Linked DNA regions of Saccharomyces cerevisiae S288C. The gene in region 3 interacts genetically with the main gene of each other region. Each region holds a gene or a part of one and is shown on either strand. Other genes may lie near its edges.

What was found.
Region 1: mutations in SDO1 (region 3) and AGC1 impair growth when combined (synthetic growth defect), as found in Saccharomyces cerevisiae (one study listed by BioGRID).
Region 2: mutations in SDO1 (region 3) and CIT3 impair growth when combined (synthetic growth defect), as found in Saccharomyces cerevisiae (one study listed by BioGRID).
Region 4: mutations in SDO1 (region 3) and BCP1 impair growth when combined (synthetic growth defect), as found in Saccharomyces cerevisiae (2 studies listed by BioGRID, with this or other methods).

The regions. Positions count from the first base shown.
Region 1 is NC_001148.4:598,429-608,184, reverse strand, and holds AGC1 (citrin), read left to right. Parts: upstream 1-4,827; coding exon 4,828-7,536; downstream 7,537-9,756. Other genes in the region: SDD4 (Sdd4p), read left to right, coding at 873-4,274; ATP20 (F1F0 ATP synthase subunit g), read right to left, coding at 7,968-8,315; MCM DNA helicase complex subunit MCM4, read right to left, coding at 8,634-9,756. UniProt on the Saccharomyces cerevisiae protein: Calcium-dependent mitochondrial aspartate and glutamate carrier. Transport of glutamate in mitochondria is required for mitochondrial transamination reactions and ornithine synthesis.
Region 2 is NC_001148.4:554,446-562,564, reverse strand, and holds CIT3 (citrate (Si)-synthase CIT3), read right to left. Parts: upstream 6,189-8,119; coding exon 4,728-6,188; downstream 1-4,727. Other genes in the region: YPR003C (uncharacterized protein), read left to right, coding at 1-1,061; PDH1 (putative 2-methylcitrate dehydratase), read right to left, coding at 2,630-4,180; histone acetyltransferase catalytic subunit HAT1, read right to left, coding at 6,836-7,960. UniProt on the Saccharomyces cerevisiae protein: Dual specificity mitochondrial citrate and methylcitrate synthase with similar catalytic efficiency with both acetyl-CoA and propionyl-CoA.
Region 3 is NC_001144.5:183,674-191,040, forward strand, and holds SDO1 (guanine nucleotide exchange factor SDO1), read right to left. Parts: upstream 1,254-7,367; coding exon 501-1,253; downstream 1-500. Other genes in the region: IRC25 (Irc25p), read left to right, coding at 1-489; IZH3 (Izh3p), read right to left, coding at 1,825-3,456; putative ubiquitin-protein ligase UBR2, read right to left, coding at 3,990-7,367. UniProt on the Saccharomyces cerevisiae protein: Involved in the biogenesis of the 60S ribosomal subunit and translational activation of ribosomes.
Region 4 is NC_001136.10:1,194,912-1,198,179, forward strand, and holds BCP1 (protein-transporting protein BCP1), read right to left. Parts: upstream 1,353-3,268; coding exon 501-1,352; downstream 1-500. Other genes in the region: transcription factor TFIIIC subunit TFC6, read right to left, coding at 1,768-3,268. UniProt on the Saccharomyces cerevisiae protein: Involved in nuclear export of the lipid kinase MSS4 and of the 60S ribosomal subunit. May also play a role in directing MSS4 to the plasma membrane. Plays a role in actin cytoskeleton organization and vesicular transport.

The DNA.
Region 1 (9,756 bases), on a different chromosome or scaffold from region 3:
TGCAGAAGCATAACAATTGTAATAACACTCATTATAGATAGAGCTTGCATTAAATACACGTCTATCCTTTCAACCCAAGGCATTTGAAGGAAAGGAATGAAAAAGAGGAAACGTTTGATATTCGTCAGGCTATTACTTGACTATGAAACATGTACAGGTTGGTCTACTGCTGTAAAAAAAAAAAAAAGTCCTTAACTCGCTTATTTAAGGGAACCATTATTTTCGGGGATTGTAAATTTACTGACTATGCAATGAGTTTAACAGGCTGATCAATTATGCCCTAGCAAAAAAAACTGAAATGATGCACCTCGAACTCTAGTGCATTAGCTTGAAGCTTTATTCTCCTGCTAAAAAAAAAAAAAAAGTACTAATTTGCTTGGAAGCGAGCACCCTATTGCTTTTAAAATTCTCCATATGGGCTTCCCCACCTACCTCTTAAAAGTTATGTCATCGGTCTTGAATTGTTTCCAAAGACCTTCCGCTTTATCAATTCTTTCCTCGTATATCAGTGTCCTCTAACAAGACTACCGTGCTTTTTCGTGGATTTCATGTAGGAGCCAATCGTTTTTAAGAAAAATTACTGTCAAGGTAGTTTGAGAAGAAATTGCGAGATATCACATGTGCGCTTTCCTTCTCCACTGATCGAATTACAGTAAGACTTTTAAAGATTCTAAGTAATTAGAATAGTTAACTGTTTTTTTTGTTTTTTTTTTTTTTCGTTCTGCTTTATTTTTTTATTTTTTTTGTGAGTTGCGAACAGCTTCTTTAATAGTTTTAAAGGCTGTATTGAGATTCTAGGACTCATCTACTATGTTTATAATTATAAAAAGTGACCAATAAAGCAGTGAAGCTAGCTCTTAATATTGGCAAAAATGCACGGCAAAGAGTTGGCTGGCAGGCTCCGGAAAAGGGAAAATGATAACGATTTATCACCAAATTCAAGCTCTTCTCCTGCTGAAAGATTTAGGTGTCCACATCCCGAATGTAATAAAACTTTCTCACGTCAGGAACATTTATCAAGACACAAGCTAAACCACTGGCCGAAAGAGATATATGTTTGTTCTTACGTGCTTCCTACTACAAATGCGCCTTGCAATAAAACGTTTGTAAGGAAAGATTTACTGATCAGACATGAAAAGAGGCATTCAAAGGTGAAAAACAGATTAAGTCGGCCAAGCAAGGACCAGATTTCCTCATCAAATAAGGACTTCTCCAAAAATGCACCATATAATCCCAGTGAAGTACCCCTTTCTACGCAAAGTGGAACTTCTACGATTAACTTAATAAAAAATTCTGTGAATCCACCACCATCTATCACACAAGAATCAAAATTTCGTCCTTTTCTTCAACAGGCTCAACAACCTCAACAGGTTCAGCAATCACAACAACCACAACAAATTCAACAACTGCAGCAACTTCAATTCCCGCAGCAACTGCGGGCACCATTGCAACAACCTATGTTGCAGCAACAAATGCATCCACAGCAAGCAAGTCCTACTTTTCCATCGTATGATCCTCGAATAAGGAACAACGGTCAAAATGGTAATCAATTTTTTAATTTGATATTTGATAACCGTACAGGCGTTAATGGTTTTGAAGTGGATGCAGCGAATAACAACGGTAATGGCAATGACCAAAATATGAATATCAATCCAGCCGTGCAGCAGCAACGATATCAAGACAGAAATTTTGCAAGTAGTTCATATCAGCAGCCACTCCAGCCACTTACCCAGGATCAACAACAGGAACAGTACTTTCAGCAGCAAAAGCTTGCCCAACAGCAACAGCAACAGCAACAGCAACAACAACAACAACAACAATTACCACCCCAGAATCCATTTGGAGATCCATTAACATCTTCCTCTAGCGGTGCTAATTTGTCAGTTATGCAGGACCTTTTTTCTACAAATTTTTTGAACAGCGACCCATTACAATCTTTCATGCAAGAACTTTCTGAAGCCCCGCAAGTAAGTATTGAAGATACATTTTCTGACAAGAATACAATCCCACCTAATGAAAAACCTGTTCAACAAGACGAAGGGTTCCAGAATCCTCCAGTTATGTTTGAGTTACCACAAGATAACATTAAAATTCCCAAAGCACAACCGAAGTTCAACGATAACCCCAGTACTTCAGTGAAGGACAATCTTTCCAGTCAGAAGCTTAATATCAACGAGCTAAAACGGAGATCATCTAAAGATTCAGGAGTAGGAAACAATTCCTCTCTGAACTACAAGGAACAGTTGCGTCACTCTATGAAAAGTGTCCCGTCATTTTTCCATCCGGATCCCTTAACAAAGTATAAGATATCAAAAGAAAAATGTCAAGAAATGTTTTCATTTGTTCCAGAATTACGCTATGTCTCTATTGAATCTATACACAAATCGTTAAAATCCTTCTGGTTGAACTTCCATCCACAATACGGTCTGCTTCACAAACCCTCTTTTCACGTTGATAAACAGCCTGCAATTTTGAATTTGGCACTAATTATGACTGGCGCAAGTTTTTTGGGAAGCGAGTATCGTGAACAGATTAGTGACCCAATTTGTGGTCCTCTAAGATGGATAATTTTTTCTCATGCTGATTTTCAACCACCTTCTAAAACCTACATCATTCAAAGTTTATTATTAGTCGAAGGATATGAAAAAACAAGTACGAACAGGTATTTACATGAAAGGTCTTTTTTACATCACGGAACGACCATTCAATTGCTAAGGCGAACGCCCTCTTTAGGCGGCCATCCCTTAATGGTCAAAACCGGCAAAACCTCTGGGGAAAATTCAATTCAAGACCCACAAGAAGTTTATAAAAGATGGATTGATTTTGAAATGTTGAAAAGAATAGCTTTCTACGCATTTTATATGGACACTACACATGCTGTAGTGTTTGGATACTGGAATTTATTTATTAATAGCAATCAGATTCAACTAACTTTACCCTGTCCAGATCAAGTGTGGGAATCTTATGATTTGAGCTATGAAACTCTGATGGAGCATGGGTATGGCAGCACAAAGAGAGATGAGAATAATACATTTTTGTCTGCGTTAATGCAATTAATGAAAAATGTCATTCAAATCTTACGAAATAATAATATACGGAGAAACAAAGTCAACAATGGTGGAATAGAGAGTACCCCTACAGACTTGGAAAGCACTACAGATTGGAATATTCAGAGTCTTTTTGGTAAAAAGATTCTTTTGGCGGGGATAATTTCGATCTTATTTCAATGTCAAGAGGAAGTTAATGGTGACTATTTCATTACTAACTTTAGGGGCGGAATCACTGATCATTTAGGCCTTTCATGGAAAGATATTTTATCATTTGCAATGAACTATTGGCTTCACGAAGTTCAGAAAAGCTGCACTGATCCGAAAGCATGTAGGATAAGTACTCCATCTGAGGAGACACTAACGAACAGAAAAATTGACGAGGATAATGGAGATGGACTATGTGATGATGATTTGGACTTGCTTTCCTCCGATAATCCGTCAAATTGTAAAATTCCCGTTATTCATATCTCTCAAATTGTCCTACGTATTCTTCATCATGATTATTACATATATGCAGGAGCACCTTGGAGAATGAATGTACCAATTGGTCGCGATGAATATGACATGATCAGTCGCAGGATTCTCCAGTTCGCTAAGGACCCCTACAATGGGGGTGTAGCTGTAGTCTATGCCTTCCAGTTCTTATTTGAAATGTTTATCATTAAGGAAAATAACGTTCCAACCGTAGTGAAGAGCTACAATATAAATTCTGATCCTGTGATTACTAGACCCTATGCGATTGCATTAACTTCACTCCTAATTTGGTCTTGTAATTTTGCATTACATGGCTGTGAAGTTAGCATATGGGATAATACAGAAGCCTCAAAGGATGAATGCTTTCAACCAGATGACAGCAATGGTGGAAACATTCTAGGCAATACTGATAATAATGGATCGACGATTGCAAACAACAATTTAAAGGAAAAGAACAATTACATTCCAATAGAAAGTTTTGAAGTTTACCTATTGAGAATGTATCGGAACTTATATGTGGATAGCTCACTCGATGTAGTTAGCTTTCAGAATGACGTTTGGGCAAAAGCGAGTTTACTTCAACATATTTCTAATACCCACTTTCTATGCGGGATGATGCAGTTTATGAGAGATATTTTCAACAAGAGCTACTGGGATTTAGGGCGCGAATTCGGAAAACTCTTCGATAATTGTTTGGAAAGGAGCCTAGGGAAAACGTCACCCACTTGTCATAACATGTTTGATGTTTAGTTTATATTCGTATATTGGTAAATCATCATATTTATTGTTAGATTAATGAAATGGTTATGAAAACATTTGTAAACTGCCAGCTGTGAAATTGTTAAATAAAATCGACACTGTATATAATTGCGCTTCATATTTTACATGTAAGTATGATCTATGTTTTACGTAGGAGAAAGAGCTTTCTTTATTGGTCATCCCACTGCAAGCGGTTATGAAAAATTTCTGCAGCATCGCTTTAGGGGAGTACTGCCGGCATGTTGGAAAAACATCTCGAAACATATATTGAATCTCAGAATTAACCAGTATTCGAAGCAAAGAAAAAAATATTTCGAAGATAGATAAATACCTCAAGACGAACCTGTCTTTTATATGTTAAGATTTGATATCTAATCTCACCAGACTTTCAAGTTTTATCTCACAACCTCGCGTTTGCCATAATTTTCGAAGTAGCCTGATCCCTTCTTTGTGAACATATTTCACTGGAAAAGTACATAACTTTCATAGCGTAGTTTGAAAGTATGCAGCTTTGCTACCGACCTTAAAGAATTATTATACTATTATGGAGCAAATCAATTCGAACAGTAGAAAAAAGAAGCAACAATTGGAAGTATTCAAATATTTTGCAAGTGTCCTTACAAAAGAGGACAAGCCTATTAGTATCAGTAATGGTATGTTAGATATGCCGACAGTGAACTCCAGTAAACTCACAGCAGGAAATGGGAAACCTGACACGGAGAAGCTTACAGGAGAACTAATTTTAACATACGACGATTTCATTGAACTGATATCTAGCTCAAAGACTATTTATTCGAAGTTTACGGACCATTCGTTCAATTTGAACCAGATACCCAAGAACGTTTTCGGGTGTATTTTCTTCGCTATTGATGAACAAAACAAGGGATATCTGACGCTTAATGATTGGTTTTATTTTAATAATTTATTAGAATATGATAATTATCATCTCATTATTCTATATGAGTTCTTTAGGAAATTTGATGTAGAGAATTTGAAGGCAAAACAAAAAAAAGAGCTTGGTAGTTCGTCGTTTAATTTAAAGGCTGCAGATGATCGAATTAAGTCAATTAATTATGGTAACAGATTTCTAAGCTTTGATGATCTTCTTTTGAATCTGAACCAATTCAAAGATACTATCCGCCTGTTGCACGAATCTATTGATGATAATTTTGTTAAAGATAACAAATTACTACTTGATTGGAATGACTTTCGATTTCTGAAATTTTACAAATGTTATCATGAAAATGAAGAGTATTTGAGTTTAAACTCTCTGGTCACGATTTTACAAAATGATCTTAAGAATGAAAAAATATTTATAGGTTTTGATAGGTTGGCACAGATGGACTCACAAGGGCATCGTTTAGCCCTAAGCAAAAATCAACTCACCTATCTTCTAAGGTTATTTTACTCTCACAGGGTGTCTGCAGATATATTTTCCTCCTTGAATCTATCAAACACCGAATTACTAAAAGCGGACAATAATTCCATTCCGTACAATGTATTCAAGGATATATTTTATTTATTTCAAAATTTTGACCTACTGAACCAAATATTTCACAAGTATGTTACTGAAAATAATTTGAATGAGCAGGATATTAGGGAACAAATAGTTACTAAAAATGACTTTATGACAGTTTTAAACGCCCAGTATAACAAAGTAAACAATATCATTGAGTTCTCTCCTTCCCAAATCAACCTACTATTTTCTATCGTCGCAAATTCAAAGGAAAACAGAAGATTAAGAAAGAGAAATCAAGATCGAGATGACGAGCTATTAAATGATCACCATTATGATTCAGATATTGATTTTTTTATCCATAATGAGTATTTGCATGGAGTAAGCAGATCCAGAAAAAATTTAGAAAGTTTTAATGACTATTATCATGATCTCTCGGATGGATTTGACCAAGACTCTGGTGTTAAAAAAGCTTCAAAAGCGAGTACTGGCTTGTTTGAATCTGTATTTGGAGGTAAAAAAGATAAAGCAACGATGCGTTCTGACTTAACAATTGAAGATTTCATGAAAATTTTGAACCCAAATTACCTGAACGACTTAGTTCACCAAATGGAATTGCAAAAAAATCAAAATGAGTCATTGTATATTAATTACTACTTTTATCCAATTTTCGATTCGTTGTACAATTTCTCCTTGGGTTCTATTGCGGGTTGTATTGGTGCAACTGTAGTATACCCAATAGACTTTATAAAAACAAGGATGCAAGCCCAAAGATCTTTAGCCCAATACAAAAACTCAATTGATTGTTTGTTGAAGATTATATCCCGCGAAGGAATAAAAGGTCTCTACTCTGGCTTAGGGCCACAATTAATAGGAGTTGCTCCTGAAAAGGCGATAAAATTGACTGTCAATGATTTTATGAGAAACAGGTTGACTGATAAAAACGGCAAGCTAAGCCTTTTTCCTGAAATTATTTCTGGCGCTTCAGCTGGTGCATGTCAAGTTATATTTACTAATCCGTTAGAGATTGTAAAAATTAGGCTACAGGTCCAATCCGACTATGTTGGTGAAAACATACAACAAGCCAATGAAACTGCCACTCAAATAGTCAAAAAATTAGGACTGAGGGGCTTGTACAATGGTGTAGCCGCATGTTTAATGAGAGATGTTCCATTCTCTGCTATTTATTTTCCCACTTATGCACATTTAAAAAAAGATCTCTTTGATTTTGATCCAAATGATAAAACAAAGAGGAATCGATTAAAAACATGGGAGCTTTTAACTGCCGGTGCCATTGCTGGTATGCCAGCTGCCTTCTTGACTACTCCTTTTGATGTTATAAAAACAAGGCTCCAGATAGATCCTCGAAAAGGTGAGACAAAGTATAACGGTATATTTCATGCTATCCGAACTATCTTAAAGGAAGAGAGCTTTAGAAGCTTTTTCAAAGGTGGTGGAGCCCGTGTCCTAAGAAGTTCTCCCCAATTTGGGTTCACTCTGGCCGCCTATGAATTATTCAAGGGCTTTATTCCCTCCCCCGATAACAAATTAAAAAGCAGAGAGGGTAGGAAGAGATTTTGTATCGATGACGACGCAGGCAATGAAGAGACAGTAGTTCATAGTAACGGTGAACTCCCACAGCAAAAGTTTTACTCTGATGATAGAAAACATGCCAATTATTACTATAAAAGCTGTCAAATTGCGAAAACATTCATTGATTTGGACAATAACTTTTCTAGGTTTGACTCTTCAGTTTATAAAAACTTTCAAGAGCACCTAAGAAGCATTAACGGGTGATTTATTTTCTTCGTCAGTTTCTCTGTACATATATATGTATATATTTACTTATTATAATTCATAGCAAAATATATGTTTTTTTTTTTTTCTTATAGTGAGAAAAATTACTAATGATCCTGAGATCAATTTCACTGTAGTTTTTACTATAGTGCAACAAGTATGTTGTTCTTAATAAGTGTAATGAAAGCTCTGAGGTCAAGTTTTCTTTTTTACAGAAAAGTTATATTGGCCTATTTCATAAATAACTGGCGGCAAGAAGCTAATGTAATATAACTCGATATCGCTTTTAATGCCATTGTATGTCATGAAAAGAAAATAAATAGAATTGAGATGAATATATATTCTTTTTTCTAGTTTTGTTCTATTTGTACATTGATTTAATTTAATTAACGAATATACAAGGGTTTTGCGAATAGATAGAATTAAAAAGCTTAGTGATGTTTATATCCCACTAATTTTCTTCTTCCAATTATTTCACCGACAGAATAAAACCCTATCAACTGAATACCATATGCGCCATATTTTAATAGTTCATTCTTTTGGATGTTTTTTAAACACGATAAAACTTCTGTAGGCTTTAGAGCAAAGTTTAGGCTCTGCTTATAAAGGTTCGAATACACTGATTTGAACTGGGCAACAGTTGGTGGTTGAAGACCCTCTTTTAAATAAATCTGTTTTGAAATCTCGGCACCGACTTTACCATAGTATAAAGCCTTTGATGACAAAAGATTTGCTTTAGAAACCAACCCACTGGTATAATTTTGGATCCTGCTTAGCATGATGAATTGATTAGCGTTCTGAAATATGATTTATCGGCAGGTTTATCTTGTCGATTTGGACTGGAGTAGAAAATATGAGGGATCTTTGCATCTTCATTTTTCGGTCTTTAAATGTAATCATCCTTCGGGATAAATTTAGTGCGTTTAACAATATTTTCTTTCAGCCAATCAGGAATAAGAAAAAAGCCGCCCACTCAATCGAGCCTACATACAGTATTGAATAGTGTTACAAAGCATAAGGATGTAAAAAATACAAACTTGCTATAATTAATTAGTATTTATTAATTGTTACGCAGGGAATGATTGTAGTAGACAGCATCAGACACGGTTATTCAGGCGAACTGATCTCCTTACACCCTCGCCAAGGACAATGACCTTGTCCTCTTGTTGCAATCTTGACAAGGCTTCCTGGATATCAGAAGACTCAACTCTATCTTGAGAGTGTTCATTGATTTGTTTTATAAGCTCATTGAATGACATTGAGTCTGATGCCTGATCCTTCAAAACATTCATAATTTCCCTTGACAAATCCTCCTGTAGTTTTCTCTGAATAACTGATTTACCTGTTTGAACTAAATTCATGTCGATTTTACCGGTTTTAGGGTCTGTTGCATAATCTTTTATGGCTGATCTAATTAATCTAACGGCTTCTTGAACATCCTCCAGCTCTACGACGTTTTTCAATTTCATTTTGGCGTGCGCCTCAGCCAAACGAATCATACTTTCAAGTTGTCTTGTGGTAGCTGTGATTCTCTTCTCATCGGATCTCGAATCGTCACCCATCTTTCTCATTCCTACATAAGCACGAACAAGCTCAGTCTTAGCGGCCTCGGTGATTATTGGGTGTATGTGCTCCTTTGCATAACTAATATACATCGTTAAAAATTCAACTGGTAGCACGTCGTCTTGAGAAATATGTTCGGGCTTATCTTCCAGGTAAAGATTTGTTAAGTGTTTGGCTAGTTCTCTGTCATTTTTCTCATCAACCTTATCAAGGACAAGATAGACCAGATCGAATCTCGAAAGTAGTGGGGGCGGTAGATCAATATTTTCAGTCACAGGCAAATTGGGGTTGTAGCGTGAACCAATTGGGTTAGCACTGGCCAAAATAGAACTTCTGGCATTAAGTGTTGTGATAATTCCCGCTTTTGCGATTGAAATAGTCTGCTGTTCCATGACTTCGTGCAAGACGGACCTTGTAGAATCACTCATTTTATCAAACTCGTCAATACAACAAACACCTCCATCAGACAATACTAATGCACCACTTTCCAAAACAAGTTGTTTTGTGTCGACATCCCTTGTAATATAAGCAGTTAAACCAACGGCAGATGAACCTTTACCCGAAGTATACACACCACGAGGAGTAATTTTGTGAACGTATTGCAAAATTTGCGATTTGGAAGTAGAAGGATCCCCACAAAGTAAAATATTTATGTCA
Region 2 (8,119 bases), on a different chromosome or scaffold from region 3:
ATCTTACCGTTTCCTCTAATAGAGAACTAGTAGCTTTAGGATTCATGAATATTGTCATCTCATTATTCGGTGCTCTTCCCGCATTCGGCGGATATGGAAGATCCAAGATCAACGCCCTATCAGGAGCACAAAGCGTAATGTCGGGAGTGTTTATGGGTGTCATCACCCTAATCACAATGAATTTACTTCTTCAATTCGTACATTATATTCCTAATTGTGTTTTATCCGTCATAACAACCATCATCGGAATTAGTTTATTAGAGGAAGTGCCAGGCGACATAAAGTTCCATTTGCGATGTGGTGGCTTTAGTGAACTATTTGTTTTTGCTGTTACCTTCTGCACTACAATATTTTACTCAATCGAAGCAGGAATATGCATCGGATGTGTCTATTCAATTATAAATATTATAAAGCATTCAGCAAAGTCAAGAATCCAAATTCTGGCTAGGGTAGCGGGAACGTCGAACTTTACGAATCTTGACGACTACATGATGAACATGAAAAGGAACTCTCTGGATGTTGAGGGCACAGAAGAAATCGAGGGATGCATGATTGTTAGAATACCTGAGCCTCTCACATTTACAAACAGCGAAGATTTAAAACAGAGACTTGACAGAATAGAGAGGTACGGTTCGTCTAAGATACATCCTGGAAGGAAATCACTTCGCTCGAAGGATTCCATAAAATATGTCATTTTCGATTTAGGTGGGATGACCTCAATAGATTCTTCAGCCGCCCAAGTGCTGGAGGAAATTATCACTAGTTACAAGAGGCGCAATGTCTTTATTTACCTTGTCAATGTATCTATAAATGACAAAGTAAGAAGGCGATTATTCAAAGCAGGTGTAGCTGCTAGTGTGGAAAGAGCGCAAGCAAATAACAACGAAAATAATACTAGCAACACATTTAGTGATGCAGGAGAGACATATTCTCCGTACTTCGATAGCATTGATGCGGCTCTTTATGAAATTGAGAAAATGAAAATTAAAGGGAACAACGTCCCGAACAATGATTCGGAGAGTTTTATGTCCAATACTTTATTTAATTCAAGTCTAGTGTAAAACTTCGAAAGAAACAGAGGAGTCTGGGCATATGCGCATTATGAAATTTATTCCTTGCGGCCCTATAATATTTTTGGGGCTTATTTATCAAAACAGTATTGTCTCCTCAATTCTTTAGTTTATTTATTTCTTTACGATAAAATCGTTAACAAGCTTTCAAGAAGCGCATTTATACGTTATAAAACCCACAAAATTGAATACAAAAGCAAAACCTTATTGTCTTAATGAGCCGCACAAACGCACAAACACTTAAACAATCACTTTTGATCCGAGTTTCCGCTCTCCTCGCTCTAGTTAGATTCTAATCTTATATAAGTTATATAGGATAAGTGATATTCTGTATGAGAAAGAGATGAATTGAGAGACAGTCCCTAATTCAAAGAAAGTCGAAATGTAAAAATTAATAATGTATATTGTCAAGAGATGTTCGAATTAGTTGATAATTGTTGGAATTTTATTGTTGTTAAAGGCCATAATATTTCGTATATATATTATACTAGAATTTCTCTATGAGAAGAATCCACGAAGAGATCGATATTCTCGATATAATGGCATTATTGTTTTCCTTTTCATCTTATGTGACTGTCATTCATCATCCTACTAAATTACCAATCCTTGCAATTAGCTTCCATTACACCTGATGACTATTCTCAATCTTCATATCATCTTCTTAGACCGCACGTGATGATATTGAGAAATGGGTGAATGTTGAGATAATTGTTGGGATTCCATTGTTGATGAAGGCTATAATATTAGGTATACAGAATATACTAGAAGTTCTCCTCGAGGATATAGGAATCCTCAAAATGGAATCTATATTTCTACATACTAATATTACGAATATTCCTCATTCCGTTTTATATGTTTCATTATCCTATTACATTATCAATCCTTGCACTTCAGCTTCCTCTAACCTCGATGACAGCTTCTCATAACTTATGTCATCATCTTAACACCGTATATGATAATATATTGATAATATAACTATTAGTTGATAGACGATAGTGGATTTTTATTCCAACAGATATATTAGTAATATGAACACTACTAAATGGATGATATTTTAGAATTTTTATTCCAACACTTACAATAATACTAGCCCAAAGATGATAACTGACTCTGATTCCAACACTGTGGATTGAGTTGATAACACCCATTTATCAACTAATCCTGTATTGAGTTTTTAGCTAAGGTGGTTAGAGCATAGAAATTGAGCGGATTTAGCTCAGTTGGGAGAGCGCCAGACTGAAGAAAAAACTTCGGTCAAGTTATCTGGAGGTCCTGTGTTCGATCCACAGAATTCGCATTTCTATTTTTGTATTTTTCCATGAATTGACGAACTCTTGCAAGTTGAAGAAAGAAAAATAAATAGAGCCAATTATTTAATTTTTTAATAGTTATTATTATGTAGATAAATACCAGTAAAATTAAGCCAGCATAATTAGAAAACCGCATGTTCTTTGGTTTAATTATGTTTTGAAAGTGATTTCTTGTTTATCGAAACGGCGCCTTTTGTCTTTAAAAATTGAAGTAGGTACCATGCCGTTCGCTCTTAAAGAGCCAACCATTCATCCCTCAGTAAACAAATCCATGTATTTGTCGATTTGCATATTCAAAAAGTTTGTTTTTGAACTTACCTTCATTATAAGGTCGACTTTATCAGGGCTCTCTACAAAATGTTCGCGCAGATGCCTTTGAAATTTATTCATTAGTAATGGTATTCCTTCCTCTCGTCTAAATTTGTGACCAACAGGGTACTCTACAAAAATTTCATCCAACTGCGTCCCATCGTTCAGCTCTATGAGAAGAGCGTTTCCTATCGACCTTTTATCAGGATCGTGATAGTTTTGAGTGAGATGAGTATCTTCGATACAGTACATTTTCGATCTCAAGTTATCGATCTCAGGATTTCTTGCGACCTCATCCGAATAATCAGTAGCTGTGAGATTACCAGTAATCAGCGGAACCGCGATCATGTACTGGATACAATGATCCCTATCGGCATAATTATACAGAGGACCGGATTTATCTATAATCCTCATTGCCGCCTCTTGAGTTCTAATTCTGATCGATTTAATATCTTTAAAAGTTTTCCCTTGTTTGGCAAGAATCCTATATGCTTTTACAGCAGCTTCTACAGCAGTTTGCGCATGGAATTCGGCAGGAAATGATATCTTGAACAGAACGTTTTCCATGACGTAGGAATCATATTTTGATCTTTGTTGGAATGAAAAAGGTTTACCCTTAAATAAAACGTCATAAAATCCCCAGGTTCTAGCTGTTAATACTGAAGGTATCGTGCCAACATTAGCATTTTTGACTAAATAAGCCAAGTTTACAGCCCTCGAAACTGCATCTCCCGCCGCCCACGACTTTCTAGATCCAGTATTTGGGGCATGACGGTAAGTACGCAGTGATTGACCGTCTACAAATGCTTGTGACAATGCTTCAATAGTTTGTTCCTGGCTCAGGCCCAGCATCTTCGAGACAACACCAGCCGTTGCTACTTTCACGAGTACCACATGATCTAAACCTACTTTATTGAAAGAATTTTCGAGCGCTATAATACCTTGGATTTCATGCGCTTTAATCATTGCCTCTAATACGTCTTTAACAAGAAACTGTTTTCCATTCTTTCCGTGGGTAGCCTTGTTTAATCTGGACAAGTGATCCGCGACAGCTAAAATTCCCCCAAGGTTATCTGATGGGTGCCCCCACTCGGCAGCTAACCAGCAGTCATTGTAATCTAACCAACGTATTAGAGTACCAATGGCAAAAGCTCCCTTCACTGGATCCATAACGTAAGATGTGCCCAATATTTTTGTTCCACTGGGAACTATTGTTCCTGGCACAATTGGTTTAATAATATTTTGAGCCTGCTTAAATTTCAAAGCCGCCAAGCCACAGCCTAGAGTATCAAGGAAACAGAGTCGTGCTGTATCTAGAGCCAAAGATGATTTTAATGGGGTTTCATGGACATATTTCGCGATGTCCTTCAAAACCTTATCTGGATTTGGTCTTTCATTAGTTTGTATAGACGCTGTACTCAGCGCAGCAAATTTCTTTTTAGGCAAGCATACCTTGATTTTATTATTTTTTAGATTTTTGGCTAAAAACATTCTGTTTGCTCTCGATCATCAGAGAACAGTAGAAAATACCAAAATACTATTTGAGAAAGTCCTAATAAGTTATACATACATTATGGCAGATTTATATACCTTATACACTTTCTTTGGTCATGCTTTCACATTAGTGAAGGTAAACATATGAGGGTAAAAGTTGAATGACTAGAATGTGGAGAAATAAGGTCATCTCAATAAAGTTTGTAAACGGCCCGAGGTCCGACATCGGGGAAGTGGCTACCTATAGACAGCATCATATATCAGAGAGATTGGGGACGAAAAGCGCGATGTGGTAAAAAAATAAGTCAAAACTCCAGAAATAATACAATCAGAGAAAAAAAAAAAAAATAAGAATATATTTTACTAACGAGATTGGAATTGCTGAATAATTTTTTGATAGGTGTGTTAACCGACCATATTTTCCCCTATATGTTTTCATGATGAATATGTATAAATTAGCTATGATTAGACATGCTGTATGGAATTTTATTTATATTTCAATATTGTAATAGCAAACGAAGCATTCTTGTAAATTGGAACTGCGTTACAACTTGTTAACATTGCTTGCTTTGGTAAGTGCTTCCAGACCCTCCAAGTTCAAACTCTTGGGCCTTTCAATTGGTAAACCTAGAATGCGATCCCAAACAAGTTGTGTCAAGGGTCCCATGGCCCTTGAACACCCAAAAATGACGGTAAAGAATAATAATTCCCTGATTCCATAATGATAAAACAAAATCCCCGATGCAGAGTCAACATTGGGAAATGGATTCTTACTCTTTCCGTGTTCCAACAAAACCTTAGGCGCTATTTCTGCCAATTTTTGCATCAACAAAACGTTCTTGTCGTTCTCAAATTCAATAGGCCTCTTTTGCGCAAATTCAAGCATTGCTGTAAATCGAGGATCCGGTTTACGCAAAACTGCGTGCCCATAACCGGGGATCACACGGTTTGAATTCAAAATTTTCCAAAGATAATCTTTGATTTCTTGTTCTCGTGCAATGCTGGAAATATTAGAGTTCATCTCTATGAGAAACCTTACTACTTCTTGTGCTGCTAACCCATGCAAAGGACCCGCTAATCCCATTATTCCAGATGAATAGCTGAGATACGGGTCACTCAACGCACTTCCAACCAAGTGGGTGGTGTGAGCAGAAACATTACCACCTTCATGGTCTACATGTATACCGGTATATAACCGCATCAAGTTTATGAAGTCCAGGGATTGCTGGGAAGTAAGGTTGCATGTATTAGAAGAGTTCGTTCCATTTGTCATGCCGAGCAGGGAACATATGTTTGTACACCAATCCACCTCCTCACTATATTGACCTAATGGGTGTCCCTCATTTGTAATGTTCGAATAAATTCTCCCAGTCAGCAGCGGGAGTGAAGCAATTAAATTTAGCGAATCTTCAAGAGTATCTTTCCAAAATTCCATCTTTCCTATGAGGCCCTTTTGGTAGTTTGTAGCAAAGAGGGATCCTTTGTTCATTGATGCTAAACCAATTGCAAGTTGGGTCATAGGGTGCATATCTTTGGGTAAACTTGACAAAACTTTCTCTGTATAATGTGGCAATTTCCTTCCACGAATAGCCAATTCTTTCCTGAAAGAAGCAGCTTGCTGGAAAGTTGGCACACCACCTGTCATCAACAGCCATAACATTGATTCTGGCAGGAAATTATCGCCATCAATACCTGTATTAGGTAATCTATTTTGACATTCTTCAATCGTTAAACCTTGAAATTTAATGCCATGTTCGGGATCTAATGATGTTCCTTGCCAAAACATTGACTGATTACCTCTCATCCCACCTAGAACTGATGAAATGGTAATCGGTCCGACAAACGTGCTGCCATAACAGGCCTTCAATTTCTTCACAGCATCTCTTTTCTTAGGTATCACGTTTTCTAATGCTTCCTTGAGAGTCAATGCAGAAGACTTTATAATTGCAGACGAATTGAAGGACCTTCTGCATATATGTGCGCCCGGTAGAAGCCTTTGTACCATTTTGTATTCAATTATTTAGCGGCGTCTATGTATAAATTCTTGATCAAATACGATCTTTTTTTTATGATTAGAATGCTTGACAAGCCAGTCATCTTAAATACATAGGGATGAAAAAGCTTTATCTCCTATTTAAGGTCATCCATTTTCAGTGTGGAGTAAGTCATCAAAACTGCTATTTAGCCGCTTTGCCGATTTCGCTTTAGAACCGCTACCATGGTGTGTCACTTCCCCAATTTTATTTTTCTGTTCAAATTGTTTGCTCATAGAAATATTTATGTTTTTTTGTCTTTCAACTGAATAATATTTCTATTTTCGGAAATCTTAACCAACAAAAAACAATTTTTTATTTTTGTTTAATTTAAAGAAAAAAATTATTTTTATAATTAAAAAAAATTAAAAATAAAAAATATATCATGTGATCTATTTGTGATCACTACCATGATAAGAAATTTTATATCAGTCAAGATAATCTCTTTAATATAACCTGTAATTTAGAATTACGACAACATAACGGCTTCAACCTTTGCATAAGCTTATATTAACTATAGAGACACTTTGATGATCATCTCGATGATGTATTTATAAAAGAATTTCTTATTTCAGGCTTGTTAAACAAATAAATATGTTATTATATATTTAATAAACAGTTAACCTTGAGATTTATTTATCGACTCTATAATACGCCTATAATCATCTTTGACTAAAATAAATGAATTTTGTAAAGCTTCTCTTGCCTTTTCTGGATCAGTTTGATCTAGGGCATCATAATTTTTAATGTACAACCTATTCTTTACCTTTAATTCAAATGATGGAGAATTGTTTAAAAGAAGAAGCATTTCCACAAGACGATTAAACTGTCTTTCTTCCAGTTTTAAAGATTTTCGGCTTGACTCCAAAAACTCATCAGAAAGGTCGGAGTGCTTCTGAAAGACAGCATCATAACCAAGTTTTCGCAGTCTTTGAATATCATTCCTGTCGCGAAGATCGTCAAATGCTTCGTTTGGATCCTCTACAGTAATTTCAGTAATACTTTTGTCTTCTAGCCAAGATTGGATTATAGCCTCATAAAGACAGGATCCGTGGCCTTTATTTTGATAAGGTGGAAAGATCAGAAATTGAGATATTTTGGCTCTGAATTTTTTATCTATATCCTCATCGAAAGATTTTGCTCCAAGGTAGTGCCAATACTTGTAAGTAGTGACGAAACCAATCAATTCTTTTGTTTTCTTGTTCAACAACCAATAGATTTGCCAACTCGGGTCAGTCTCATCTATATAGTTAGCGGCTTCGATAAAAAGTAATGAAAAGATTTGAACACGACGATGCATTCTCCTGGCAAAATCGTCAACCAAACTCGATTTATATACAACAAATTCTTCCCCATTCAACGAATACTCTGATACTTTTTCAAAAACATCAGATAAATTATGTGTTTTTCGTTCTTCTGCAAAGCAATCTACCCATTTAGCTTCATCCCTAACAATTACATCATCCTTTGGTAGAAATGAGAGTAATTTTTTTTCCACGTCTACAATATTGTCGTCTCCTAATTTTGCTGAATACTTGACGTTAACATACGGCTTGAATGTTACTGAATCAAATGCTAGGTGGATGATGAGATCCTTATAGCCGTAGATCTTTTCGGAGTCACCGTAAATTGGATACGTGAATAATGGTGAAAACTGAACAGCGTTTTCTCCAACTATAGAAACTCTTAAGGCTTCGTTGGCGCTTGAAGTCCACGTTTCAGGCTTGAAATCATTGGCAGACATATTCTTGATTCTCACTATAGTTATAGCTTAAGCATAATTTTGCTGAAAACAATTCCAGAAAGATCTATTCCTAACTTCAAGTAGAAATACATAGAAATCTAATAAATTCGTTATTCGAAGACAATATATTTATCACTTATAACGGTGTGCTATTTCAAG
Region 3 (7,367 bases):
TTGAACGCTTCATCCGAAAACAAAGAATTGTATGTACAAGCCACGCACTTTAATAACACAATTCTATTGCAAATCAGACTAAATGGGGAAATGGATTCCACCTATGAGGTATCTTCAAAAGGACTAAACCCAATTCTCGATATCAACGTACCACTGGCAGGAAACCTAGGAAACACGGGTGGCGATTATGACGATGAGGAAGAAGAATTTGTAAGAGACCATTTATCTGATTATCAAGTGGTTACCAAGTTGGGAGATAGTGCCGATCCTAAAGTACCCGTGGTATGCGTACAGATTGCCGAACTATATAGGAGAGTTATTCTACCAGAAGTGAGCGGTACGATGGCCCAAGACAACATGCAATTCAGCTTGCTGATATCCATGAGCAGTAAGATATGGAGAGCAACGAAGGAACAAAGCGCTGACGATAATGATTTTGGCAAATTAGTTTTTGTGTTAAAGTGTATCAAAGATATGTATGCAAAGTGATTCTATATAAATTAGTTATGCGTTGTATTATCTATGACTGCCATATCCAAGACTTGCACAGTTCCCTTTTTATCACATAGGGTCATCAAATCTCTATAATTGACAGGATCGATAAGACCTGTACATGTCCAAGGATCCAATTCCGGCTTCGTTGACTCTCCAGGCGATGAAGCTATCAATTTACTAATCTTCTCAATAAGTTCGGGTTGTCTAGATGGCTCACTTATGGCCACTTTGACTTTCATCTTCGCCCTTACTATTGGAATAATTTGCTTAGAAACCAATAATTTGATAGCCTCTAAAGCTTGCAATTTGGCAGGTTTGTTAATAACAGGGCTGAACTTCAGTTCCTGTAAAGCTTTGTGGATCATTGTGGGCGGATATCTTTTCTTTGACACAGGATTTATACATTTAGCGCTAACTATTGTAAGCATTTCGTTATTAACTTTATTAAGCATTAATTGTCTTTCTTTTTCCGATAATTGAATCTCTCCCTTATGCATGATCTCCTCGATGACATCATCAACATTTGTAGTCCCGAAACACTTTTGTAGATCTTCCTTATTAGCAACCAAGCCTTTCGAAACATTCATGAAAACTTGATGTATCTGCAGCACTTCATCCAGATCTTTTTCAATTCCTTTTCGATAGTCTTGGACCTTATTTTGGTAGCACGCGACTTCAAATCTCTTGCGAGCCTTTTTTAATCTCACTAATGAAACATTAGTTAACTTAATCTGTCCCGACGGTTGATTGATAGGCATTGCGTGTTTTACCTTTTCTTTCTCAGAACTATTTTAGTAAAAATTTTAAAAACTTTTACTACTGCATGAAATCACTTAAGTTCGGCCTAGAAAAATTTTTTCATGAACATTATTATATATACAAGGCACTGAGCAGAACAATACACGCTAAGTTTTGTTCTTTCATGAGGTCATAATAAGTTAAATAACAGTCAATACATAAATGCAAAACTAAAAGTACACAGTTTTATTATTTTCTTTTCGTCGTAATGTAGTTTTTATAATCAGTCAACTTTTTTTTTGCTTTTAGATTTCGTTTGTTCCTTTTGTCTTTGGATCCAAAGTTTCTTGAAAATGTAGCCAAAACAATGCCAGCAGGAATATCGAAAAAGATGGGTATAATATAAGTAAAAAAAAAATTTTAACAATGAAATAATACAGGAGAATTCGTGGTTTACAATTTCTGGTTTTTTTCGAAATTGCTATGTGGCTTCTCCAACAATGTAATTGTAGGCTTTTCTTTCTTTTAAGTCCGTTTATCGTATACAGAAAAAGTGCAGGATGTTGTAAGTAAAGGTAGTCAGTCATACCATCATGACAAAATCCACCTCTTGGCAAACATATCTAAAATAGCTCTATAATGGCCGATGACACCCAACACTACGAAGAAATGCCAAAAAGTGTGCGAACAACCAAAATAGTCAACCCACCATAGAGATTTAAATGATTTGGCATGAGACGGACAGGAACTGCATTTGGAATGGGCTGTTGGCACCTCTCTAAAATGAATTTCCCTTTGCTTTGTGATGATTTCTAAATCAGTAGATAATTCGTAGTTTGTTGGAATGGTCTTATCAACCTGAACGTCAGATCTGAACCGTTCAGGAATGAACGAACCGTAAAATACCACACCAACCAAATACCAAACAACAGATTTGTATGTGACGGGGCTAAATAGCGTTGCAGCATAATGAAGATCAGTCAAAAATATCAAATGTAAAAACGACAATACACCCATAGTAGCCAGCAAAATGAAGAATCTAATTCTTAATGGCCTTGCTTCAGGTCTATCAAAGCGAGGCGACCAATTCATAAACACACCAAATACACCCAGCGCCAGAGAAATACTCATGTAAGTGTACATCGCCCAGTAACATGAATACATGGTAACAAACTCCGTTGTCAATATCGAAGCTGTAATTAAGATCGTAATACCGCTATAGTCGACACACGCAAATTTAGAACGTAGCTTCAAGAAGGACGTTCCGTTGAAAGTATGCCAAAACACGGAGCTTAGCATACATTTCAACGCAGCTGCCAAAAACATGAAAACAATCCATCTAGCCTGTGGTGGAACCTGGGAATTCCGCCAAACTTCAGACTGAGGGAAATCGTAAATTGCCAAGTAGATTATATAAATGGCTCCTAACAAATGAGACCAAATATTTGAAGTTTCATTATGCCAGCCGTACCAGTTAAAGATAGACAACAAAGATTTGGAATGGGTATTGTAAAACCTATAGCCATGGATTATGTATCTGTTTTCCCTCCATGGGAATGGCAACTGATAATAATGTAAATGTTGAGTTTCACCTAGACTATACGCTTTGCCATGGTTGTATGAGTTTATAAAAGACTTGATATCGGTAGTAGGATTCAAAGGTTCTTCAATGAGGATTTCCGTCTTTACCATGGATTTTCTCATTGGACCGCAATAGTCTTTCACGCTGGAAATATAATTGTTTTCCTCTTTGATTTTTGTATCATTGAGACGACTTGTTGGGGAACGTAACGAGGACTTCGCTTGAGAACATACAGTTGAAGATGAAGACACCAGTGAAGTGGATGTAGAAGCATTGTTAAGCTTGAAAGTAGCGACTGAATTCACCAAAGTGGCTGCATCTGAATCTCCCAGTGAAAACTGAGATTCTGTATTCAGAGACTTGCCACTGTTTCTTTTGTACACAGAACTTGTTACTTCCTTTTCTTTTGTTGGACGAATTATCTCCAAATCATCATACCGCCCACTTTCAGAGTGTTTAACACTTTCATCAATAGTTGAAAATGGATGAGGAACGAATTTTGAGTAGTTGTAATTATAGATGGATTTACCGGATTTTTTCACCTTCTGAAAATTGTCCACACCCTTCTGCTTTAGCCTTGATAGAGATCCCATGGGTGAGGGTATATACTGAGTTAAGCTTTTGCTTGACGAGTCCATCATGTACTTAATTTGATTGTCTGTTGGGATGTGAACTATTTTTCAGCTTATCTGCGTTGCAGCTTCTTCTTTGTCCACTTTACAATGGCTAAACTTTACCAGACGACAAAACAAGTGTAGAATTTGAATCAACTGTGTCCTAAAGAAAAAATAATGTCCAAAAACTCTTATTATAAAACGAGTAAACCACCACTTCGCTCGAATCGCCAAGCTTTCTAGATGTACACCCACGCTGTGTCACCTTATGACTATATACCTTATCCATCAACACTTTCTCCATTTCCTGCAGGGTAAAAAGAAAAGTGAAGTCACCCTGCACTATACGAGCTTCAGCCCATACCCCACACTAAAACATTTCTTTTTCTGCGGCATTTCTTTTTTTTTCGGTCCGTCCCTGTCCCTTCCCACGAGAAAGCGTAATGATCCTCGACCCTACCCCACTTCCCCACGCCAATTAAAACAGATAAAATTTCTTTTGATTTTTCGGATACGCTAATTTCGTAGCAATTTTGAATGACTAGACATTTGTTGGATAACTACATAGTCTCCCACCCACCAAGATCTGCACTGCCGTCCGTTAGTCGGAACACTATGTGCGGAATCATGTTGCCAAAAACAATCTCATTCGCTAGATTCGCGTATCTCGCCCGATTCAAATAGACGGGAGTACCGAATTTGTAGTCTTCGTTGGTCTCTCCGTATTTACTTAGATAAGGTGCAGCATAAAATGTACCTCTTTTGCCGTATGACAGATATATCGCATTTGTGCCGGTCATTAAGAAAACTCCGTAAGCGGAGGTGATTTCGCATCCATTTCTCATATGATCAGTACATTCCCCCTGTAAATAACCTTGCAGTGCTATGCTTTTTTGAATATGGCATTTTTGGCCACACAACAAGCATACTGCGATTTCGTATTTATCACATTTATTCGATATTTCATCATTATCAAGGGAAAATTTGGAAAGGTTCAATGGTAGTTCGATAAGCTGGATATGCTCTGGTGAAGGATATGCTCTTGTGTTTATGTTCTGCACCATGTCATATATTACTTGCTGAATTCTCAAATTATCATTACCATCATTATACCTTTCTATATTTTGTGTTAGTTCGTTGTAGAAAAAATCCTTCAAAAAGTGAGTTAAATTGGGTAATTTAAAATACCGGAAAATAAGCTCTATTTCACGCTGTTTGACGTCCATGAAATTATTGCTGCGGTTATTATTATTATCACCATCACCATCATCATCATACTGAATGTTGAATAATAAGAAGGTTCTTCTACAAAAAATGGACAATGACTCTAGTAATAGAGAGCATATAAAGTCTTTAATTTTCTCTAAACTTGTAAAATCAAACCGAACGTCGTCTGGTTTAAAGAGATCAACATACTTTTTAAAAGTATTGAATAGATATGAAAAGCTTGTCGATGGTTCCTCAGATCCGTTTGATGATATTTTGATTTTATTTCGACAGTCTTTGTAAAAGTTTACTCTCATCATATCTCTTGCAAGCAACAGTAGTAGTTGATGGAACCTTCTTTTGAACATTTCATAGATACATAGGTTAGGCGGTTGCGGGGTTTTTCCTCCATCAATATTATCAAAATTTTGACTCATATACAAAAGTAGATTCACATTATTACCCTTTATTAGAAACTCATTCCAATTCCATATTTTACGAGAGATTTCGCTGCTGAATGTTTTTGAATTAACAAATTTTTTGTAAATAAACGACTTTAGCTCACAAACTAAATGTAAGGTTAAAATGCACTGACTGGATATTCTTTCCATATTCACTATTTTTCCTTCCTTTTTGTGCGATCTTAATCTGAGCTCAGTATTTGAAATAGTATTAATAAAAACACTATTAACAACTTTATATGCATCTTCGATAGTCGTGACTTTTTTACCCTGAAGATCACCTAGAATCATCGCTGCTTTAATACAAATAGAGCTCATTGGGTCAAGGTTTTCTTCCGCTTCACTTCGCTTTTCAATACACATAAAAAACTGGCTCGAAGTTCTCTTATCTATATCATTTGTTTTTGGTAGAAATGAATTACTTAAGGAATTGCATACGGGACAATATATCAACCCTGAACCATACGATAATGGAATATTTTTTGTAGTTTGGTTTTGTATTCCGCGAATCGACTTCATATGGCCACTTAAACATTTGGTATGAGACCCATGCCCGCATGCTCTTAATACTGGTTCACAGCTAGTAAATTTCAATCTCGTTCCATCATCATCCTGGGGGTTTTCTTGGATTGCACTGTCTTTTGTTTGCTTACCACTGAACAGCGAATTTATTCTATTAACATCTGTAGGATTCGTAAAATCAATTCCATGATCACATATGTTCCGTTCTTGGTATGAAAAATAAACAAATACATCGTCATCCTTCGGCATCTTGCAAAATACGCAATCATCATCGCAGCAACTGTTGATTGTGTTACTACTATTCTCTGCATTTATTCTAGTGGGAGATAAACTAGGTGATGTGGTTCTGGGTGTACTAATATCGGAAGTATCTACACTATTGTTTTCCATGAATTTCATTTGCTGTTGAGCCAACTTCTTCATTAATTTTTTCTTTCTCAATCGAGCAAGATGTTTTTTCCTTTCAAATTCTTTATCCTTGTGGCTTTTATCTTCCTTTGTAGGCCACAATATTCCTGGTGTATATGACGTGGTTTGCTCCCTCAAATAACTGTTTACATTTACGTGAGGCGCTGTTTCCATTAAATACCTGAAAATTTCCCTAATCTTACCATGAGATTCCGAAAAATTATCCTTCAACAAACAGTAATACAGGATAGAACCAATGCTGTGGTAATGACAGAATTCTGTGTCCACAATTGCGTATTCATGCCACAGTATCCCCATAAATTCATTCAGATTATTAACCACGCATAAATGAATCAAATGAACCACTCTCGGCAATAAATTGTCATAATCATATTTTATAATGTGATCTAAAGTATTTTTCAAAAATAAACCAAAAGTATTCACTGATGATATTGAATACAGCCCAGAAAATAATGTATTCTTCAACAAATCTTTAACCTTTTTTGCTGGTACAAAAGTATCTTCATATTTCATTTTCTTCAAATTTGCCATATTCAGCCTGATATTTTTCTCTACATCATACCTCCTACTGGAAGACAACCCTATATAATAAGGATCAATCTCATCTTTATACTTTTCTTTCAACACGAAAATGCCATTGTCAGTCAAGCTTACAGGAGAAGTGTAATTGGCGTATTTTTCGAGATATATATCAAATGAAGGGTGCTTGGTGATATGTTCTGGAATACAGTTAACAATTTGTGCGTAAGAGCATGTATCAAAGCAAAGGGCATGAATTATTTCTGATTTGAACGTTCTCTCGAAGCCTTCCTTTGATGATTTCATGACCAATGATCTCACTTCAGTAAGCAATTGAATCAATAACAGAATGCATTCATTAACAACGGCTACAGTTGTTTCTGTATCAGGATAATCATACATAGGTACACCATTTGCCCAGTGCTTCAAACCCCACCTTGAGAGGTAAGTAACCATCAGTTCATCAGGATTGCACATTGCCATACTAAATTGCACATTGAAAATGTCACTAATATAAGTAAATTCTCGCATACTGTATTTTGTATACATCCGGGCCTGGTGAGTAATTGGAGTTCCGTTTCTTACCCAGAAACCGACGTTTATTTGCCCGATTAGGACTAGGGTTGACAAAGCAGATTCTGATATATATAAAGCCTTCTGCTTATCTTGAAAAACTTCGAAGAGATTAATGTAGTTTGTCAAAGAAGCAGGAATTGGCTCATATCTACCACATTGACTCCATTGAATAACAAATTTGAACAAATATGACATTGGATTGAAAAAATACTGTGTATTTACACC
Region 4 (3,268 bases), on a different chromosome or scaffold from region 3:
TATGATGTCTCTAAATAATCTTTATATTCTATCTGTTCGGCGGCTAACGCCTACGGGTAATAGCCGGCCTTTGAAAATTTCGCGGCTGCAGCAAGTACGCAAAAATCCTTATCCCTTCTAACGGTTCGAAAGGGGGAAGAACCAGAAATTTTGTAGTTACGCCGCAAATACCTGTATGCCCCGGCTCAAAATGCTCAACACTTATATGCTGACTATGTTCTATAAGGCTCAGGGTGAATGACCTTTCTTGAATTACAATCTGATTTCACTTTGCACAATATATACTATGTATTTTTATTGGAGCACACGACATTAAAAAGATGATCGCCCAGAAAAATTTTCAGCGGTGGCGGATTAATTTTTACTGTCCTCGGCAGCCCAAAATTATCCGTGTAGGATGACATAAAGGCTCAATGGCCGCTGCTGCTTCGTCTGTTAATAATATACAAATTGCACTAACTGTGCAGGGCAGTGATCGCAACTATTTACTTTTCGTAAAATTACCAAGTGGAAATTTCTGTTTCCAATTCATCGATACTTTTGACAAGGCCTTCGTGATCAAGAATCATGTATGAGCTGATAACACCCTTTTTAGCTTCTGATTCGAAGTGAATCTTGGCATATTTTTCAAAAAATCGGTCCTCCTCATGAAAGTAGTCTACTTCATCGGCCTTCACCCTTTTTTTGGATCTTTCGTCTTTGTTTTTATTCCTCTTACCAGAGTCGGTATCATCGTCAGTGTCAAAATTTACTTCATACTTCCTGGTGACGATGATATAGAAGTCATAATGTTTGTCATCGCCAAGTGCCGTGGCAACATCCTCCAACGTAATCTTGTATAAAGGTGGAACGACTTCCGGTGGCATATTAATCAGCCTTTCACTGAGAACCAAAGCACAATTTTTATTACCACTATCAATCATAGTTTTGAAGAAAGTGGAAAGTCTCATGTCCACTTTTTGTAAATATTTGACATAATCACTTAGATGATTAGCTTTGAAATCAACGAATGAAAGAAAACAGTATGGATCAGATTCTTTGCCGTCTGTTTTAATTGTGGTGGTTGGGGAACCTAGGATCAAATCTGCCAAGCTGCTTAGTTGAATCCTGGTACTTTCTTGAGGACCAAATAACTGACGCAGTAAATTCTTTAAAGCATGAAAATCAACTTCTGGGTTACCACCGAAAAAATCGAAGTCAATATTTACGATCTCTTCTTCTCCATTTTGCTCTTCTTCATTTTCTGAATCGGTGCTACTAATGTCAATTTCAGACTCGTCACTGCCATTTTCTTCCTCCACATTTTTTCTCTTCCTATTTTTTAAATCATTTAATTTGATAGCTTGAACCATATTTGTGAGTTAATTAGCAATCCTATGAAAATGTGGGCCTCATGAACAATCTAAATGATAAAATTATAAGGACATAATAGATAATATATTGACAACTCTTTTTCAGATATTTTTTCTACCTCAATCTCATCGCGAGGAATATAGGCACGGAAAGAGAAACTCGTATAAAGTGACCACGGATATCGAGAATTTGATAATTTACCCTTAACTGAAGTTATGGCACAATATCTGTATAAATTTTAATACATAATTTGCGGCAGGAATAACTGCAACAATACTCAAAGTTATTAGTGCTAGCCAGGCGATATTTTACATTAGGCTATTTTATTCCTTTTTCATTTCAATAAAAAAAGATAGTTTTTTTCGTCAACAATAGTTCAATGTCACAAATTGTATTTATTACGTAAAGTCCATCTCATGACAGGTATTCGAGTGTTAATAGTCCAGCACTATTAGAAAATGCATAACATTTGCCTCCAGCGCTCGTTTCATTCCATTTTGTACATGTTATATTAATGCCGTGCGCATCTATTTTAGCTTTACTAACATCGTTGACCGTCAGCGGATACACTTCATAAGAACTATCAATTCTATATTTGTCATCTTTTATGCTATAATCCCATTTCCAAAGCCTTAATGACTTTTGAGTTGCTGAACTGTTTTTAATGCCATGCAAAAGGCGCCTAGCTGCGTTGGTTATAATAAGACTTCCATCTGCTGATCCAGCAAGGACCATTGGATGTAATCTTGACACCCCAATGGCCGTTATGGTCGTCTCTCGCGACACTAAAGGATGAACTGCGAAAGCAGCCCTAGACGGCACAGCCCTTAAGGAACTTGCACCATCTGAGTAAATATACGAGTAGATTTGAGGACAATAAACAACTGGAACCAAATTACTTCCCCTGAATCTGGACACCGTGGTCTTTGTTGTAGCAATGTCTTTTGGATTGAAAATGTAAAAGTAGCCGTCCACCGCAACTGTACTGACGACTGTATCTTCAAAATCTGAATAGGCTGTTGAAACGGATAATATGTAGGAGTCATGGACTTGGTCATAAAATGAAGGCACTTCAGGATCAGTCAAGTCAAACTCTGCTACAAATCCGTTCTTAAAGCCACAAACAACAGTAGTAGGAGATAAAAAATCAAAAGTAGTTATCAAACTGTCTGCCAGGGATAAAGTCAAAGAAGGCTTCTCACACATCTTAAACACGTGAACATCGGTTGCATTATCAATAATTTCCAAAAAATTTATTGTCCCTTCCTGGCTTACGAATGATAAACAGCCAACCAGATGAGGTGCGTGACATCCTTCGTGCCATTTAAGATCCCACACTTCACCAAATGAGTGTACAATGGTTTGAACTTTTACGCAATGTAGAGTAGAAGTATTCATTTTGAAAATTTGTATACAGGAGGAGTGCTTCTCCTTGTCAAACATTTCTAAATGCTCGTTCAAAGGCTCATCCATGTACTGTGATACCGCGACGGCTAAATATTGTATATCCTTGCCTATATCAGTATTTTCCTCTATATTAAGCCATGCAATATCTGTTACCAATCCTCCTACGTTGTAAATAAAGCCGCGCCTTTTGCCGTTAGCAAGCACCGGAAACTCTATTTTATCGCCAGTGGATACCTCTGCATCAACTTCCCCGATAAGTAACTTCAATCTCTTCGTTCTCAATTTGATCATATTCTCAAATTCAGTCTTATTAATTTCATGATATACGGTTCTGTTTTTATCCCCTATGACTTTATTATATGCACTTTCCTTTTTACACGGTGGATCTAAGCATACAAAATATGGAGAATCAGGCTGAATATTCTTGAATGGGAAATCGAAAACGCTAGTTTCAAAGCCTTCCTTAACTTTTGCTAGCAACAATAACTTTTCCTTATTCAGTCCATAA